2 linked regions of the Schizosaccharomyces pombe genome follow. Each later gene encodes a partner of the first gene's protein in a complex. Each region holds a gene or a part of one and is shown on either strand. Other genes may lie near its edges.

Region 1 (3,455 bases):
TTTTGGTACATTTTTTAGATTTCTCAGAATAATTTTAAAGATCCTGTAACCTCATTGATTACGCTGACAGGCCCAGGACCAATGCCCAAGACTGTAGCAGAACCAGATGCAATCTGGGTGCGACCAGCATCGTGTATAACCCTGGCACATAGCCCTAGAGACATTGCTTGGGCTTGCAGTAATTCCAACGTCTCTTCGGTTTGAGCTTGAAGAGTAATTTTAGCCTGTCCAGCATTTTCCCATATACGTACCAAATCGGGGTCCACCGCAGATGCGATTTTGTAGCAGGCTAAGGCTGCATGCGCACATTGAGCTGCTATTTTTCCTTTGGTCATGCCTAAATCCGTCCTAACGACCAATACCATTTTAGTTTGTCCTTCCGCCAATGCAAGCGCAGCCAAACTGCTGTTTCCTTTCAGCATATCTAAAAGTTCAGTTTCGGACTCGCTGTCTTCATCATTGCTAACAGAAACAGGACTTTCTTTTTCTGGGTTAGATGCTTTGTTGGCATTTTTGGAACTATAACCTCTTGATGCATCTGCTACACTGTATTTGCGTCCGATCATAAACCCCACTACAGCGCCGACAAGTACTGCTGCAGGAAAGGAGGAGATCATGAAATTTACGAAAGGTACTTTCATAACTACTATGAAATTATAATGTCAAAATAATTATGTGTGCGAAACTTAAGAGCTAAGAAACATAATATATACCGGCAACATCATTAAATTGATGTAGTGAAGCGCAACATACTCCTCTCAAAACTATTAATTTGTTTCACAAAATTAATAATGATGCATTCAGAGAAATTAATATTAAATTTCATTAAAAGAACGAAGAAGGATATCTCATATATGTGTTTGAAAAGTTTGACTGACCAGAAGCCAACTCATGGTACTTATTTAAATTTAGGCGTCTCCAATCTTCTATGCGCTTCTCCATTTTAACATGATAACTCGAAGAAAGAATGAGTAATCAAGAGTATACAAAAAATTATGTTTAGCGTTAACATTGAAGTGAGACTTTCTAACATCAATTGTAGCGACGACGCTTAGGGGAACTATCTCTTCCTCCATAGTCTGAAGAGTGAGAGGAGCGAGTAGGACCACGACCAAATCTTGACCCTCCTCCAGAAGATTTTCGAAATCCTCCTCGATAGCCACCACGAAATCCAGAGTCGCCACGAAATCGGGATCCCCGTTCCCGTCGCGGCCTTTCTTTTGTATAATGTCGCCCGCCAAGTCCACCACCTAACTTACGCGGTAGCCATCCTTTTACAGTTCTACCTCTTTCGACATCGACCACTATCCGCCTTCCATTTAGCATCAAACCAGCTGATGCTTTGTAAGCAACTTTTAAATCTCGTTCCCTTTCAAACACAACAAATGCATATCCCATTGATTTTCCTGTAACTTTATTACGAACAACTCGTATGCGCTCGATAGGCCCATATCGAGTAAATTCTCGTTCAATATCGCTTTCCTTGGTATCATAGCTTAACCGAGAAAGAAACATAGTTTTATATGGATCTCCAATGACATGGCGATCGTGATCAGGATCCCATACCTTAATCATGGACCGTAATCTTTCTCGTTGCTGTTTTTGTTTCTCGTCTCTAAGACGCAAACGCTTTTCTTCCAAGCTTTCAGTCGGGTGATATTGTTGATCGTGAGACTGCGCATATTTCAGATATTTTGCTATGCCTGAAACGCGAGGTGTTGAACGTTTCTCAGGAGGCACATCCATAGGAGGCAGATACCTCAATGGGGGACGTGGAGCAAACAATGCAAGTAGAGGAGCCGGTAATTTTTCAGCCATTCTATATGAATTGTTTTTTTTTATTTAGAAGTGTGTGGGTGCAATGCTGTGTAGGGTATATCCCAGTAAAGCGATATTGCCTGTATAATAAGTGCTATGTGGGGGCGTACAGTACAATTTTTTCGCTTATTATTAAAATATGTAAGCAAATTATATAGTCATATTTATTTGACATAAAAGGGAAGCAAATATGTATTTACCCTATGAATAAACCTAGTACACGCATGGGCTGCATCAAAAGGAAACCTCATAATTTTAAAGGACGAAAAGCCTCACCAGCTAATAAAAGTTAGGGAAATCCTTATTTCAACGTTGAATTCATGCATGATTAAAACGACAACAACAGAACATTGAGTAGACCGTTATTCTCAACAAAAAGTGATAGAAAAAAATGAAAAGAGCCACTAGATTAACTCAGTGTTCAACATTAACATCTAAGTCTCATTTAAAGTCAGTAGTCTTGATATTCATTAACAATTTGAATGTAAAACGAAAAATAAACATTAAAGGAATAACTTTAGAAGAGAATACCATATGTGTATTACACAGTCGTTCATTAGTTTCTAATGCAATGCCAATTAGAATAACAAATTAATGAAGACCATTGGAGTTAGAAGACACGACAGATTGTAAATATGACAGAAAATGATCATCAGACCCTTTGAAATCGGATTCCTGGGTATCTTCCTTTTTTTGATCTGCCAAAGGCGAACGTTTTAAAATCTTAACGAAACCAGGACTCATATCAACATGGTTTTTGTTGGTTTCCGAATTCTCCTTCTTCTTTCTATTTTTCAATTTTGATTGCGATAATTCGTTTCGTTTAGGAGGAACCTCAGACTTTTGTTGCGGAGATACTTTTAGTAAATCAAACTGATTAGCGGCTTCTAGTGGCTCATCATTTCTGGGAATACGAAGTGTCTTCTTTAACAAATCAGTGCTTTTGCTGTAGTTTTTGACCTCCAACTCCTTTACCTGACTGGAAGCTTTGCGTTCGTTATTCTGTGATTTATTTTGCAAATCGTTTGCAGGAGTAGGCAATCCAGATTTAAGAAGTGTAAGTAAACTTAACGAATCAGATGTCTTTTTCGGTGTTTCCTCTTTTGTTTCGGTTGCGGATGGATGTAAGAGAGCTTGAAGTAATTGTGCGGAGTGTACAGAATTGGCGTTAGGATTATTACAACTTTCACCATGCAAATTATCTGATATTTCCTCTCCTTGACTATTGTCAGAAAATTTCTTTGTCTCTAATGAATTAGGCGTCAAAAAAAGATTCGCTAATTGAACATTTGCCTCTTTGCTTAACGTAGAAGATGAGGGTGTCGTATCCTGCTGAGAGAGCATACTTAATAACCTTTTTGAATTTGAGTCTCCTTCCGAATTATATGATTGACCTGAGTTATCGGAATTTCGAGCTAAAAACTGAGTCTGAGATTGAAAAGGAGGAAGAGAAGAAATTTGTTGAGTCTGATGACCATTTACATAGGGAGAAGAAGATCCGTATGCTGGTTGCGGAGTTTTGCCTAAACCATAGGAACTAACGGAAGTCGAAGTGGGAGGATAAAAAACTTGATGATAAACAGTACTTGGCGAGGGCAATTCCATTGGAGAAGGCATGTCGCTAGCGGCAAATAAAT
Region 2 (4,105 bases), on another chromosome or scaffold:
ATAATTGGTTAAAAAAAAGTCATTCAGGACAGATTATTCGTTAACGAAACTTTTGATTCTAGAGATGACGGGCTCTGAGTGGTGGAAACCATGAGAGCAAAAGCGTACTCTAAAGTTTAATGCAAAGTAGACAGATTTTGATTGGTTTATGATAGGAAAGTCGGAGCGAATTGGAGGAAAGGAAGGTCAAAGTGAGCTGTTGCAATCTGCACGGGTGTACGCTTGCGTCCAGTAAAATTCGTAAAAGGGGTTTAATGAGAAGGCTGCTAATTCAACAAAGGCAAACTGACTGGTAGCGGGGATCTTTCCTTTGTGCTCTCTTTTGGATGGATATCGCTGTATATTTTAAATATATCTAACAATATTATTTTAAGGATTTCTAGACAGTACCGCATGGAGCTGGCCACATGCAATTATTAGGTCGTACTTAGAGTAATAGTAATAGTAAAATCAGGGCAGCATGTTATGTTACATCAATGTTTACAAGATCGCAGAAGTTGTAATAACTAAGTCAATTTTTTTCTATTTCTTTAGTCTTTTTCTTTCATTTGTTGTTTCGCACAATTAAAATTGCGCTCTAATATTGACCTATTTTTACCCATCCTTCTATGGATTGAGATAAACCATATTAGAATGGTCGGGTTCCTGACCAGCTTTGCGATCAGTATGGAATTGTATTGTCTAGCGATGGCGATTGTGTGACAATCAACAATTAATTTAATTATTCAATTCTGAGCAAATTTAGCACTCAGCCCATTTGGACTTTAATGAATCATTACTTTCACCAATTGGACTCCAATGCGTGCCACCTAATTTCATTGCAAAGAAATGGCCATATCGGAATAATGAATGCATATGCTAAATTAAAAAAAAAATTAAATAATAATTTGCGAGCTTATGCTCAAGAAGAACATTAATTGCTGAATTTGTGGTTTAAAACATTGTTTGGCAACTAAAAGTTAACAGATAAATATTTATATTTATATTTATTCACTGAGCATATTAATGGAAAGCTATTGAATTATATTGCTGAAATTCCTTATATGTATATTCTTAATATTATTTATTTATTTATTTAAATTTTATTTTTATGTGGTTGAGGCTTATCATATTATTTATCAAGTCCATACATCCGTTCAATTGTTACCAATGTTTGCTTAATTGTGTCCAAAACGAAATTGTAGATTTTCCATATTTACTAGATATTCACGTGGCCTCAATTTATATATCAAAACCAATAATGAAAAATTGCGCACTTGCATTAATAATTAAACCATTGTTTTTATTTGCCATCAGCAATAATTTTTTGATTAAAAATTTTTTAAGAAAAAAAAAAAAAAAAAAAAAAAAAGAAATTTATTCACCGTGATTAAGAAACTAACATATTACGCATATGGTTAGTATATTAGATAAAAATAAATTCTTATATTTATTATTTATTTTTTAAAAATATTTATTTTATTACAAACATTAAAATTTTCATGTTTCAGCATTTGGTTTAGATGAATGTAAAAGTCGTTAAAAAATAACCTTATTAACTAACGAGTTAGTTTTTTTTTTTTTTTTTTTTTTTTTTTTGAATGTTTTGGAATTTCCAAGTTCATTTGTACAACAATAATCAAGTTAATAGATTAAATAACAAAATTAATACTATTGTTTTTTTATCACTCAAATATTTTCATCCACTTTTGTGCTGTTTTTAATATGCAGGTATTATGGCTACACTTATTCACATAGTAATAAGTAAATTGAAACAGTGCTCATCTTTTGTAAGCTTTCAACTGAATAAGCAAAAAAAAATTCTTATTGTCATCAATGGACTTCCTTTTTTGGAATATGACTCGTCCTTCAACGAATGTTTTTGGTATTGAACAATGCTAGTCTTCGGTGCATACTTCTTCTCTCATCTATATTCAAAATTATCATTCAATTAAGCACATTTTTTTTCTTTCTCAAGCCATTAGAATGTTATGCAAATCATCCATTTTACAAACCAACATTAGCATGGGTCACAAAAGTCACATTGTGAGCAACAGAACATTTCTATTCATATAAAGCATTTCCTTGCTTATTAAAAACGTTTGAACCTCTTTTGTTTTGCTAAGAGTACCTTGCCTATTCCTCAGAACATATTGGATTTCAGCACGAAGAAGCATCTGGTCTGTTCAAATCCTTAACACTACTCCCACTACTTGCTTTTTCCTCGAAAACCACGCATAAATATTTAGTCATTATCCATTATTAACAATTATCATTTTTAAGGATTTTTAATCGTTTAAATTCTTGGTAATTTACTGATGGTAAAATGTCTATGCGATTAACTTTCAAGGGAGACAAAAAGATGTAAGATAAAATGAAATAACTGCTCGAATGTGGTAATTCATATTATATTGTTCATCACTAACAAGAAATCAGTCAAAAGAAGAAAAAAAAGAACACAAAATCACTTCAATCTTCTCTAGAATCAGCTGAAAACGATCCTTTTTGGACGGACGCAAACGAGCTAAATGAGCTTGAGGGTCCAGCGGTTATATAGTAAGCTTAACTTCAATATTCTTATACCTTTTTTTCTAATTTACTTACAACTTTATGTAGTAAAATAGACGATGATGCTGGTGTATCTCTTGGAATTGAAGAAGTTAAAGAAAGTTGCGTTCTTCTTCCCCTCGACAAAGTTTCGCTAGAGCCAGAATTGACGCGCCAGGTGTTTTTGTTATCCATACTGAACAATACTATACTATTGAAAAGCTGTTTAGGTAAATACATGTCATGTAGTAAGTCTGGAGACTTGTATTGTACGCAAGAGGCGGTAGGATCACAGGAACAATGGATAGCGGAGAATCTGGGCTCAGGATTTTGGGCTTGGAAAAGTGTATCAACGAAAAAATATTTAACATTAAGTAGAGAAAAACAAGATCAGGCCATTGCATGTGTCTCTGACACTGTCATTCCTGAAGCCAAATGGAGAATTCGAGTACAAACTCGTTTCCTAAAGAAAAACAAGTCTTCTTTATTTGACAACCCAACCATACATTCCAGACAATTAGAATCTATGTAAGTTATGCTATTCTATTTTATTGGGGTTTCCCTTCTACTTTCGTCATTCTAACTTTGTAATTTTACAGGGCTGGAAGAAAACTTTCTACCGATGAAAAAAAGACCCTCAAAAAAGCGTTTAAGGAAGGAGTTCTTCATGAAGCATTACTAGATTTACGAGTATCTTCAAGGAGCGACAAATATGGTTAATTTTTCGGATATTCTTGATAAACCATTAATATCTTGACTTACTGATTAATGTACGATTACCTGCTGGACCAAAGCTAGCAAAAACAGATTTGATTTTTTCTCTTGAATTTTAGGCACCTTGTATAGCTATTGAGACTCCTTTCAGCTATTCACTACTTTTATGTATGAATTTACAAAGCTTTATGGTAATTACTCATTTCAAAAGTGAAGTGTTTTACTTCATTCCTTAATTTTAACGAACTATTTTTTTTTAATAAAAAATGAATATTTAATGAATCTGTTGAAATTCATTCCCTTCATACATGTATGGTTTTACAAATAAATGCAACAAGTAAATAATTATAGTCATCAGCATCGCTTGAAAAAGATTAAAATAGTTTTAGATTATTACTACTATTACCTAGTCATTATTTCAGCTTCAAAAATATATTTCTATACTGGCCCTGTCCTTAAGGCTGTACGCCAATCTTACTGCTCACCTTTACCAAGAATCGAAGTAACACCCTGCATCTGTCAAGTCAAGAGGAAATTGAAAAAAATAATTAGAAAAGAGACCAATTAATTGCATTTGTTAATAAAAAGGCTAAATTTAGAGGATCATTATTTTTACAGTGTATAAAAACCATAGGGATGTGCATCTTCAAGTTTTTAATATGAGCTCATCCCCATTCACAAATCTTGGGAATTTGGACACAGAAGCAATCTATGAAAATAAGGAAAATGAATACCAGACAAACATAACTAATGAGACCTCAAATGTTCAAAATTTATCAAGTGGTAATGATGATCAGCAGTATCCCAATTCTACGAATGATGATGCAAATAATGGATTAACTGCCTCTCAAGCAAAATTGCAAGA

Evidence for each region.
Region 2: usp101 (region 1) and frg1 share a complex: the UniProt entries of both Schizosaccharomyces pombe proteins name them as parts of the spliceosome.

The regions. Positions count from the first base shown.
Region 1 is NC_003424.3:2,460,317-2,463,771, forward strand, and holds usp101 (U1 snRNP-associated protein Usp101), read right to left. Parts: upstream 1,867-3,455; 5' UTR 1,819-1,866; coding exon 1,033-1,818; 3' UTR 835-1,032; downstream 1-834. Other genes in the region: pth2 (aminoacyl-tRNA hydrolase), read right to left, coding at 24-641; mRNA-decapping complex catalytic subunit Dcp2, read right to left, coding at 2,410-3,455. UniProt on the Schizosaccharomyces pombe protein: Involved in nuclear mRNA splicing. Essential for growth.
Region 2 is NC_003423.3:2,021,644-2,025,748, forward strand, and holds frg1 (FRG1 family mRNA-processing protein), read left to right. Parts: upstream 1-2,205; 5' UTR 2,206-2,305; coding exon 2,306-2,343; exon of another isoform or gene 2,344-2,415; coding exon 2,416-2,535; exon of another isoform or gene 2,536-2,595; coding exon 2,596-3,054; intron 3,055-3,125; coding exon 3,126-3,246; 3' UTR 3,247-3,544; downstream 3,545-4,105. Other genes in the region: origin recognition complex subunit Orc4, read left to right, coding at 3,900-4,105. UniProt on the Schizosaccharomyces pombe protein: May have a role in processing of pre-rRNA or in the assembly of rRNA into ribosomal subunits. May be involved in pre-mRNA splicing.